3 linked regions of the Mus musculus genome follow. The protein of the gene in region 1 interacts with the protein of each later gene in a pairwise test. Links are inferred from orthologs where the notes say so. Each region holds a gene or a part of one and is shown on either strand. Other genes may lie near its edges.

Evidence for each region.
Region 2: the proteins of Smurf1 (region 1) and Rnf11 interact in binary tests that used the Homo sapiens proteins (3 or more experiments, as listed by UniProt). The link is inferred for Mus musculus from reciprocal best matches to the Homo sapiens genes SMURF1 and RNF11.
Region 3: the proteins of Smurf1 (region 1) and Wfs1 interact in binary tests that used the Homo sapiens proteins (3 or more experiments, as listed by UniProt). The link is inferred for Mus musculus from reciprocal best matches to the Homo sapiens genes SMURF1 and WFS1.

The regions. Positions count from the first base shown.
Region 1 is NC_000071.6:144,963,031-144,967,307, forward strand, and holds the start of Smurf1 (E3 ubiquitin-protein ligase SMURF1), read right to left. Parts: upstream 2,801-4,277; 5' UTR 2,526-2,800; coding exon 2,471-2,525; intron 1-2,470. UniProt on the Homo sapiens protein: E3 ubiquitin-protein ligase that acts as a negative regulator of BMP signaling pathway. Mediates ubiquitination and degradation of SMAD1 and SMAD5, 2 receptor-regulated SMADs specific for the BMP pathway.
Region 2 is NC_000070.6:109,456,006-109,459,505, reverse strand, and holds part of Rnf11 (RING finger protein 11), read left to right. Parts: intron 1-2,438; coding exon 2,439-2,608; intron 2,609-3,500. UniProt on the Homo sapiens protein: Essential component of a ubiquitin-editing protein complex, comprising also TNFAIP3, ITCH and TAX1BP1, that ensures the transient nature of inflammatory signaling pathways. Promotes the association of TNFAIP3 to RIPK1 after TNF stimulation.
Region 3 is NC_000071.6:36,965,604-36,968,793, forward strand, and holds the end of Wfs1 (wolframin), read right to left. Parts: intron 3,076-3,190; coding exon 1,270-3,075; 3' UTR 501-1,269; downstream 1-500. UniProt on the Homo sapiens protein: Participates in the regulation of cellular Ca(2+) homeostasis, at least partly, by modulating the filling state of the endoplasmic reticulum Ca(2+) store.

The DNA of each region.
Region 1 (4,277 bases):
CAAGTCTGCAATACCAAAATTAACCAGTTGACCAGGATCTGTTAATAGATACCTGCCACAAATTCCACAATTAAGCCACTGATCTCATTTCTACTGAAACTCCCCAAGTCAGTCACTTTAGCGGGAAGGCTGAAAGCAACCTGGATCATATCTGAAGTCATAGCCCAGTGTCAATGAGCAGCAAACTTTCCCAAAGATGACTGTCAAAGAACCTAACTTCCTAACTAACACATGCCCTTCGCATGTCCACTGAGCAAGTCTCTTCCAGTATCTGTCCAGAGGCAAAGATGGCCAATATGACCGGGGTCTGGGTTCTAGTGCAAACACCGTTATCTGCTCCCACATCTTCAGGGAAAACTATCAATCTTTTCTTAAACACAAGAAACTTTCCAAGAATTTCCACCATGATCACAGGTCTTACCCTAAGGCTCTGCCTGAAAGGACAAGCAGAAGTCTTAGTCCCCAACACACTGCCTTGGAACAGAAAAATCCAGGGAACTCCCTGCAAGGCCTCAGACTTAACGATGTATTTCCTCTTCTGAGCTGGAAAGCCCCAAAGCAGGCCCTCTGCCAACCCTGCCATGCATGCAGCCTTAGGGATGGATTCACACTGGTAAGGTCTGCAGAGAAAGGAGAGGGAGAAAGAAAGAGGAAGCTGAGGGCAGTGGTCCAGACTCCGGACCCACGAAGAGGGACAGCTATGACAGAGAGCTCTCCCCTTGCCTGCATGCAAACTGCCCTGCTGCTGTCAGACCCACAGCAAGCTCTGCGCTCACCTTTGAAGGTGGCACTACAGAGCACTTAGCAAACCTGAACATTCCTCTGAAGACTGAGGGGAACAAGGCGCCTTGCACTAGAGCAGCTGCCACAGCTCAGCTTGTGTGGGAGGGGGGACTCAAGGATGTGGCGAGGGGTGAAGGCATTGCAGAGGAGGTAGGAACCAAGGACTCGTCTCTGGAGTACTAAGTGGCCTGGCCTCGGGGAGAACGGAAGTGGACTAGACTGGAGAGGTCTGGACCACTGATGAGGTGGGGGAAGTGAGAACAAGACTGGGAGACAGACGTTTGGTCCCAGACAGGATTGAGGAATTTGCGACTTAAGGGTGGAGGCTGTAAGACAGAAGCGAGTGGGCGGGACTGAAAGATAAGTGAGGGCGGGATCAAGCAGGGACGGGGGCGTGGCTGAAAACAGTAGAGGGGGCGGAGCCAAGAGAGGAGAGGGGAAACTAGAGAGATGGAGATGAGGAGTGGGTGAGGCGGTGGGAGAGCAAAGAGAAGCAAGGCAAACGAGTAGGGGGTGGGATGATTCGAAGGGACCCAGAGAGAGAAGGGAGAAGGTAGATAATGTTCATGTGAGAGAGTGGGAAGAAAGAAAGGAGAGAGAGATGAAGTGATGAGAAGCTGCAAGGGAAAAGAGGGAGGGGACAGGCGGGAGGATGGTGAGGGGTGGGCCTAGAGGGGAACAGCAGGTAGAAGGAGGATGAGAGTGAAGAGATGGATGATGAAAATGTGAGGTAGGGGTGGAAAGAGCGGTGGAGGTGCAGCGAGGGGGCGGGATCTACATGAAGTTGAAAGGTGTGTGGCTATGTACAAGGCCTGAAGAAAAGCAGGCAGGGGGGTAGGTGTGGATCAGAGGGTGCTGGGGCGGTGTCAAGAGAGGACACTAGAGGGGACCGGTGGAGGGCCCCGAGGGGTGGTACCTATATGCAGCTGAGGGTAGGTGTGGGGCAGAAAGGAGAGGGGGGGGGGGAGTCCTGTAGTGGAGGAGCTAGGGGGCGGGACCTGATCCAGAAGGGTAAAGTTAGGGGCAGAGGGAGAAAGCTAGGGGGCGTGGCCCATATGCAACTGATGGTAGGTGTGGGCAGATAGAGTAGTGTGGGCAGGGGGGGATAGGCAAGAACCTGAAGAGAAAGGAGCCAGAGGCGGGGCCAAGAGAATCAGCCACAGGGGTGGAATCTATGATAGAGGGATGAACAGCAAGCCAGGCTTAATGCAGAAAAGGCAGCTGCCTGGGCCTGCAGAGCAAGCAGGGGGCGGGGAATGATGCAGAGGGAGGAGCCATAGGGCGGGTCGCCAAAGCTACAAAGTAGTCAAGGGGTGGAGCCTGTGAGGGGGAGGGGGAGTCTGCAGAAGAGTCGAGGGCTGAGCCTAGTTAAGGGGGCGAGTCTGCAGATCGGAGAGGCGTGGCTTGATGCAGAGGGAGGGCGGGGCTGCCGCAGCGGGGCGTGTCCTGATGTGCCAGGGGCGGGCCCTGATGCAGAGGGAGGGGACGGGGCGGCAGGGGCGGCGCCTGCAGAGCACCCGGGGGGCGGGGCCGGGAGCGCGAGCGAGGGGCGCACGCCGTAGGGGGTGCAGCGGTCCCGGGACAACGGCCGGTGCAAGGGGGGGGGGGGGGGAGGGGGCGGGGCGGGAGTCCGCAGGGTCCCTGGGACAGTCTAGGGGCGCGAGGGCCGCGGCCCTGTCGTGCCTACCTGTCAGACGGATCTTGATGCTGGAGCCGTTCCTACGGGTCCCGGGGTTCGACATCTCCCGCCAGCGGCCGGCCGGCCTCGGATCCAGTGCCGCCGCCCCCCAGCCCGGCCCGGCCCGGCCCCGCCGCCGCCTCAAGGTTACGGCCACGGGCTGGGCGCCGGGGTCCGAGCCGGGACGCCGAGTGCGCGGCGCAGGCGTTGGGCCGGAGACCACGGGCTGGAACCGTAGAACCGAGCGCTCGGCCGCGCCGCCGCCAGGAGCCGCCCCTGGCTGGCCCAGCCCGGAGCCGCCGCGCTCGCAGCCGGACGCCCGCCGCCCTCGCTGCTTCCGCCGCCGCCTCCCGAGCTGCGCGCGCCCGCCGCCTTGCCGGCCCGGCCCTGCGCGGCCTCGCGCTTGCGTGTGTGCGTGCGTGCGCGCGCCCGAGCACGGCGCTACGCGGACCGCGCTTGTCCTGGGCGCGCGCAAGGGGGTCTGGGGGAGCTGCAAGGTTCCTGCAGCCGGCGGGGAGCCTTGAAACAGACACCACCGTGGCCACCACCGCCCCACACACGTAGACGACACACACGCACACACAAGCGGCGCAGTCGGAGCTGGTTCTTAGTCACAATCTCAGAACCAACTGATTTGCTTGTGCGACGATTTGGGGGAACCGATTGTTTCTTCAGTGTCGGACTTTTCAAAGCTCCTGATGGAAGCCAGGGTGTTGCATGAAACCCCAAGAACCGTGCGCGCGTGCGCGCGTGGGTACACACTAGATCCTGCAAGTTCCAAGGGAAGACTTCCCGCAGTGATCGAGTGTCGGATGTGCCCTGTGCAACTGGTGTATTCGATTGACAAAGTGGCTAGACTCAGAGGAAGTGCGGCATATGGACCAGCTAAACAAGATGAAGGATGTAAATGGAGAGGTGGTGGTTTTGTGGATAGGAACCTGCATGCAACTGAACTAACCCAGAGAAGTAAGCAGTCGGGTTTTCGAGTCCCTGCCTTCTGATGAACCCACCCCCAAACCCCCAGAGTGTCAGGCCGGTAAAAAGTAAAAGCCGGGCTTTCTTTCCCCAGCAAGCAAACCAATCTCTATGGTAACGCATTCTAGAGAGGAAATAAAAGGTTCTTGAAAAGGCTGCGTATATTTACCAAACTCCCATCCGACCTGAACTTAATTCACTTCATGGGCAGACTCTATGGTTCTTCCTTAGAACCAGCTACCCACAGCGTTTGACCACCCTCTTTGGAGACAGGGGCTCATCTGTAGCTGAGGCTGACCTCAAAACTGTGATTCCCCCTACTCAGCCTCCGGAGCGCAGGGATTACAGGCTTGTACCTGTTCTTGTCCTAGGCAGTTTGGTTTTATGAGCCTGTGCAGCCCAGACTATTTAATAATGGAGGGAAAATATCTTAAGAATAGGATCGTGTATGGGCAACGGTTAATCCAGACTCTAACTCTGCTTCCATTTCTAAGCCGTTGTCGCTGAGAGCGAGACCCTAGGTTGGAATAAATCCATTTAGGAGTCTTTGATTGGTGTTGGGAGAATAGCACCATTGGTAAGGTGTTCGATGGTGCAAGCACAAGAAGCTAAGTTTTGTGAGGCTTTTTTTTAGATATTTCTGTTACCTATATAGGAGTGTTTTGTGTGCGTGTTTGTATGTGTGCATCACAAGGTGCTGGATCTGGAGCGGGTGTTTGTGAGCCACCGTGTGGGTGCTGGGAACTGAACTTAGGTCCTCTGGAAGAGCAACGTGTGCTCCTAACTGTTCAGCATCTCTCCAGCCCCACGGTACAGGTGTGCTGGTGAGTTTGAGTGATCC
Region 2 (3,500 bases), on another chromosome or scaffold:
AGTTCAATCCCCCAGACCTACATAGTGGAAAGAAAGTACCAACCACATTGTTCTTAGACTTCAAACACACTAAATACAGAAATACAAGTAAAGAGCAAAAATATTTGGTAGAATAGAGGGAAAAGAAGAATCTAAAGGAATCAGAGGATGACTAACCTCTTGTCATTCTGTTTGTATATCCACCTTGGGAGACTTAAGTGAGGTCATCATAGAGTGGGCTGGGCACTGAGACCCTGGATTATGTATTTTCCTTGCCTATTATTTATGTTTATTTACTTGAGACATATTTTCACAATGTATCCCTGGCTAGCCTAGAACTTGGTATGTAAATCAGGCTAGTCTCAAGCTAGAAGCAATCTTCTTGTCACTACTTCCCCCGAATTAGGATTATAGGTATGAACCGTACCACCTGGCAGTATAACATTCTTTAAAAACAGACGAAAAAGAATATATATGTCTTCTGGTTTGCTGGTGTGGAACTTTAAGGCTCAGGTATTAAGTAATATGCTAAAATTATACTTAAGTGCCAGGTCTGAACTTCTATGAAATGCATTTTCTTTTTCTATTCTTCTCTGTCATTAACCTAGAGAAACAACATGGAAATTCTCAGTTGAGAAGGTTGTTGAAGGAGCAGAAATATAGTTTGCTTTTGGACCCAAGTTAAATCTAAAGCCAAGTATTGTCATTTAGAGAAGAAATAACTGATTGTAATTTATATCAGGTTTTCCCTTTTGCTTTTATTATGCCTTAGTCCAAATCATTTCAAAATTCTGATATGTGATATAGATAGGAATGACATAAAATTTCAGTAATGTGTTTTATAATATTTGAGTTGGAATTATGTGCCTGGGGCAAAGATAATTGCTGTATTAGTCCAAATGCAATGAACTATCTTTGTATTCAAAGAAAAGGTTACAGCTAGTGTACCAAAGTACCCAGTCTCTAAGTATGTTTTGGCCTGTATCCCTACTGGTGTTTTATGTGTATAAAGACTCTTGTTGAAGGCTGGTGTTTCTGTTAATCAGCAGTTTAGATTTCTTAACTGGTTTATAATTATCTTTTTTGTGCTGTTTCCTTGTACATAGGAAATGATTAATTGGTAAACATTTAAGGTTTATATTGAGGTAGGAGGAGGTGGCAGAAGTGAGCACCAATATTAGTCACTCCTAAAAATATACTTCCAAAACAAAACCAAAAGACTCAGTGTTGTGGCTTGGACTCAAGCTTTAATTAGATATTTAACAATGGCCTAAAGATTCAGGAAATGTTTGATACAATAAACTGAAATGAAACCCCGAGGAAAGTAGATGGGTAATACTTGTAGTTATTAGGTAACATTTTAGTAGACTGTTTATTCTATCAGATGTTTTATACAGAGGAGCAGAGCCTGTGCTGAGGTAGTTTGCTTTTAATTCCAGCAGAGGCAGGTGGATACCATGGTCTGCATAGAGAGCCTTTGGCTTAAAAGAAACTGGAACAAATACCAACATAGTCCTTCTCATAAATGATTGTATAAATTTACTTTGACTATAGTTTAGTGAATCTTTGTTCTCAATTTTTTGAGTCAGGGTCTCAATGTATAGCTCAGGCTGGTATCCAAAGCCTTTGATTCTTCAGTCTCTTCTGTATCTACAGTGTTGGGATTTGAGATGTATGGAACCAGTACAGTTTTGAAATGATGTTCCGGTCGGGCAGTGGTGGCTAACGCCTTTAATCTCAGCACTTGGGAGACAGAGGCAGGCCTGGTCTACAGAGTGAGTTCCAGGACAGCCAGGGCTACACAGAGAAACCCTGTCTCGAACCCCACCCCCAACAAAACAAACAAAAAACAAAAAAAGAAATGATTTTCTGCAGTCAGAGCAGCAGAGTTGTAATCCTAGCTGATGCATACTTAAGCATTCATGTGCATTGTGCAGTACTGAGGCTAACACTTTAATTCCCATTTAACTGTTGCAGTGACCCTCCTTAAACATGAATTGGTGTACCTGGTCAAGATTTTGGGGGGCCAGAGGGATGATTGAGACAGGGTTTCTCTGTGAAGACTAGGCTGTCTTCTAGCTCACAAGAGATCTGCCTGCCTCTGCCTCCACCTCACAAGTGTTGGGATTAAAGGCTTGTGCCACTACCGCCCAGTTTGTACATTAATAATATGGACGATCTTTTTAACTGTAAACCATGAAATTTACTTACTAAATATAAAACTTGGAAAAATTGTGTATAAGATGAAGATGCCAACATTATTAGTTATCGTGGTTAAAGGGTCATTCTCATCTTGATAAGTGTCTAAAATCAATACGATATAGTCATACTGTTCCATTTATCCAACCTCTCACTTATCTGGGGGTTCATTTTCCTTCCCCGACTAAGCCAGTTAATTTAGTACACCGTAGAAAATAAGTTTTAAAATAATCAATTGTTTGTTTCACTTTCATATTTAGGAACAAGTTCCTGTTCCCATCTATCATCCGACACCTAGCCAGACTCGGCTAGCAACTCAGCTGACTGAAGAGGAACAAATTAGAATAGCTCAAAGAATAGGCCTTATACAGCATCTGCCTAAAGGAGTTTATGACCCTGGAAGAGATGGATCAGAAAAAAAGATCCGAGAGTAAGTAGTAATTTTATGTATTTTAGAGATTTGTGTGTAGTTGTGGTTTTTTTTTTTTTTTCCTCTATAATACTGCAGACTGAACCTAGGACCTTGTGCCTGTGCTCCCCTCAGCTTTATTTTCAACTAGAAATGTCAGCTTTTGGAATTTGCTTTTTTCTCATGTTCTTAGGAAGCCTACGGAATTCTGTATTTGAAAACCTGAGTATAGCAATAAAGGAGAATTCCTGCATTCTGACCATTATAGTTGCTAGTTGTCTATTTATGACAGTTGATGATAGTTAAAACCATTTATATAAATGTGATATTTCTAATAGCTTTGTTTTATCAGTTTTCCAAGGAGTTTAAGCCTTTGTAAATAAATAGGAATTAAACCTCTTTTAAACTCTGAGCAAATTAATAGGAATGTTATACCCTCTCCCCCCCTACACACACTAGAGTTTTAGGCACAAGATTTTTACTATAGTCTTATTGAGGGGTGAAAATCTAAACTCTGTAATTGTAGAGGTATAGTTGTTTTAACTTTTCAGAAATACTTGGGGCTGGTGAGATGGCTCAGTGGGTAAGAGCACCCGACTGCTCTTCCAAAGGTCCGAAGTTCAAATCCCAGCAACCACATGGTGGCTCACAACCACCCGTAATGAGATCTGATGCCCTCTTCTGGTGCGTCTGAAGACAGCTACAGTGTACTTACATATAATAAATAAATAAATAAATTAAAAAAAAAAAAAAAGAAATACTTAGCCAGGCGTGGTTGTGCACACCTTTAATCCTAGTATTTGGGAGGTAGAGGCATATGGATTTCTGAGGCCAGCCTGGTCTACACAGCAATCTCTAGGACAGCCAGGACTACATAAAGAAACCCTGTATCAGAAAAAAAAAGAAAAAGTGA
Region 3 (3,190 bases), about 110 Mb from region 1:
TGTTTGCCACAGTAACAGGGATGAAACCGGCCCAGCACCATAACTCTTCCAGTCCCCATGACAAACCCTGATTATGCCCGTGTGGAATTACCACACGTGACTGAAGAGAGCAGCACAAACCCCAGACTGTGACTCATGCAGACGACCCAATTGGTGACCTGGGTTTCAGTGATCCTCGACACAAAGAAAGCACTTTTCACCCCAAGGCCAGGGTCAACAGCCATGTGCTGTTACTGCTGCGACCTCGGGGACCCTCACACCTGGATGGTGCCAATCAGCTATATAGCAGATGGTGTCAACTGTGCGGGATATCAGTTCTATCCTCAGTCACCCAACTGGCACATTTTCACTGAATCTGGGTTCATACATACTATGTTGCTCGAGCGCGCGTGTGAACACACACACACACACACACACACACACACACACACACACACACATACACACACACACACACACAACCAGACAAGGCTCCCTGTAATCAAACCAGAAGGCAAGGCTATAGGTTTCAAAGCTTTTTATTTCGGCTGCCTTAGAACTTGGCTTTTGGCTCTGCCATATTGAACATAGCCAAGCTTACCTATGTACTGAAAGGGATACTCTTGCATTATTTCCCAAGTCCTGGGGTACTCAGAAGAGATCCCCACAAACTCTCTAACACCCCCAGAGATAGGCCAGCTCCAAGGCAGGCTGTAGTGTTCAGAGCCCAGTTTGGACATGCTATACCCAAGTAGGAAGCCAGGCAGGACGTGACCACTGGGGACAGCCCAGGAAGGTGAACCACTGTCAAGGCTTAGCAGCAACCAAATAAATAAGAAACACTACCATGAAGTCTACATACACACATATTTGGAAAACAAATCCAACACAAAGTAAGGAAAGGGCAGGAAGGAGGCATGAAGAACTGGGGAGGAAGATTCTTATCTGTAAAGTGCTCTTCGTGATGGAGGGTCTTTGGGGCCAGGCTTGGAGTTCCAGCTCTGTGAGGGAAGGGCAGGATTGTGAGTGAAGATAGCATGCAATTTCTTATGACACTCGGCATTCAAAGTGGACAGTGCTAAAGAGAACCACCCTCCAGCAGGATCTGCGATCTACAGGTGAGCAGAGAGCCTGGGATCTAACCACACGAGAGCAGAATACACATACACACACACACACACACACACACACACACACACACGGCACAGTGCTGCTCCAGCTGGCTGGGTGGCCACACGGAAGGACTTCACAGCAACATGCACCAAAGCCTCCTCCAGCGGCGGACGCTCCTCAGGCGGCAGACAGGAATGGGAAGAAGAAGAAGTCGAAGGCAAACTTGAGGGCACCGTGCACTGTGCTACGCCAGTCCTGTTCGATCTTCACGTGCCTCCGGGCAGGTGACAGCTGCGTCATGCAGTTGAGGCAGCTGATGGCCTTGAGCTCGAAGACGGGCCACTTGCTACCCAGGCGGCCCTCGAGGATGGTGCTGAACTCTATGAGGCTCCCCTGGCGCAGGTTCAGCAGCACGTCCTTGAACTCGCTGCTGGCACGGAGAACAATGTCCTTGGTGATGTCGTCCTCTTCATGGCCGCGGTTGCCGTTGGTGCCAAAGGGCATGCCCACTGTGATCTCAAATTTGTAGCGGTCAAACTTCTTGATGTGGCAGGGGTGCTTGGCCAGCTGCTTGAGACGGCAGAGCTCCTCCTCTGCCGTGGACGTGTTACCAGAGCTACAAGATGGGTAGGCCTCGCCATACAGGCAGCGCATCCAATCGCCCAGGAAGAACGGGAGCATGTTGATGGCCGACTCAGCACTGTTGTCGATCTCGGTCACTCGGACATACTTGAAGCGGCCTGTCCACGTGACCCTGTGGCCCTCCAGGTGGCTGCACAGGATCTGGGTCCGGGCCATGTTAGTTTCCTTCCAGGCCCGGGGCCCACATAGGAAGCCATATTGCTGCCAGGTGAGTGTGGAGTTGTAGACCTTCATGCCTTCTGAGCGGTACACGTAGAACCAGCAGAAGAGCAGGATGGCCGTTAGCCACACCAGAATGAGCTTCACCATGGAGCTCTTCGTCAGGGACTTGACCATCCCCATCACTGAGAAGTTGGCCTTGGTCCACCAACGGAAAAGCAGGGGTACGCCGCAGATCACCGTGGTGACCATGATCTTGGTGAGGTCCAGCGACAGGAACCATCGGGCAAACTGCACCGTGCCCATCAAGGCGAGGCCAGCCACCAGGATGGGGAGGGCAAAGAGGAAGAGGAAGTAGCCGATGGAGGCCCGGACCAAGCCCAGGCCGGTAGACTGGAGCAGGATGACCACGGACAGTTCACACCACATGAAGCACACCAGGTAGGGCACCAGGTAGCAATAAGTGCCCTTGAAGTTCCTCAGCTGGGCCATGCGGAAGAAGAGGTAAAAGAGATAGACATAGAGCAGGCAGGGGAGGCTGACGTTGAGGATGATGAAGTGGCCAACGGGCACAGTGAAGAAAGTCTGGCCGAGTACTTTCAGGAAGCGCCAGTCCACAGGCACGGTGGGCAGAAGGGACAGCAAGCCGGCAGCCACCTCGGTGACCAGGGCACGCCTGGTATAGGGCTCAGCAGAGCTGCTCAGGCTCATGTAGCTGGTCACCGTGAAGAAGGTGGAGATGACGGCCAGCTCCGAGCAGGGGATGCAGTCCTTGCTGGCCAGCGGGAAGGAGAAGATGACAAAGACGACTGACAGTAGGAAGTGGATGTAGGGCTCCAGGTGGTTCCAGCCGAAGTTCACTTCGGCCTGCTCCACGTCTAGGTTGGGCTCGAAGCGCAGCAGCAGGTCGGTGAGAGTACGGAAGTTCTCCCAGGCCTTGCTGTCCTGGAACACCTTGAGCGTGCAGATGACCATGGACACAAAGGACAGATAGAAGACCACCAGGGGGATGAAGAAGGCGAAGAAGTCGATGGTTAGGTTGCTGATGATGAAGAAGAAGATGAGGGCGTTGATGTGATGGGTGGGTACAATGGTGGAGAGCCAGTGCATGCCGGCCTTGGAGGCTACGTCAATCAGGTACTCTTTGATCTCCATGATGGCGTGTAAAGGGTACTTCACCACCTAGTGGGGGACAGAGAGCGGAAACCAACTGGGACAGGAGCCCCTTGGCATCTAACATGACTGCCTCTAGTTCCCTGGTTCTGTACAAAGCCACACCCTAGACTTTCCCACTCCT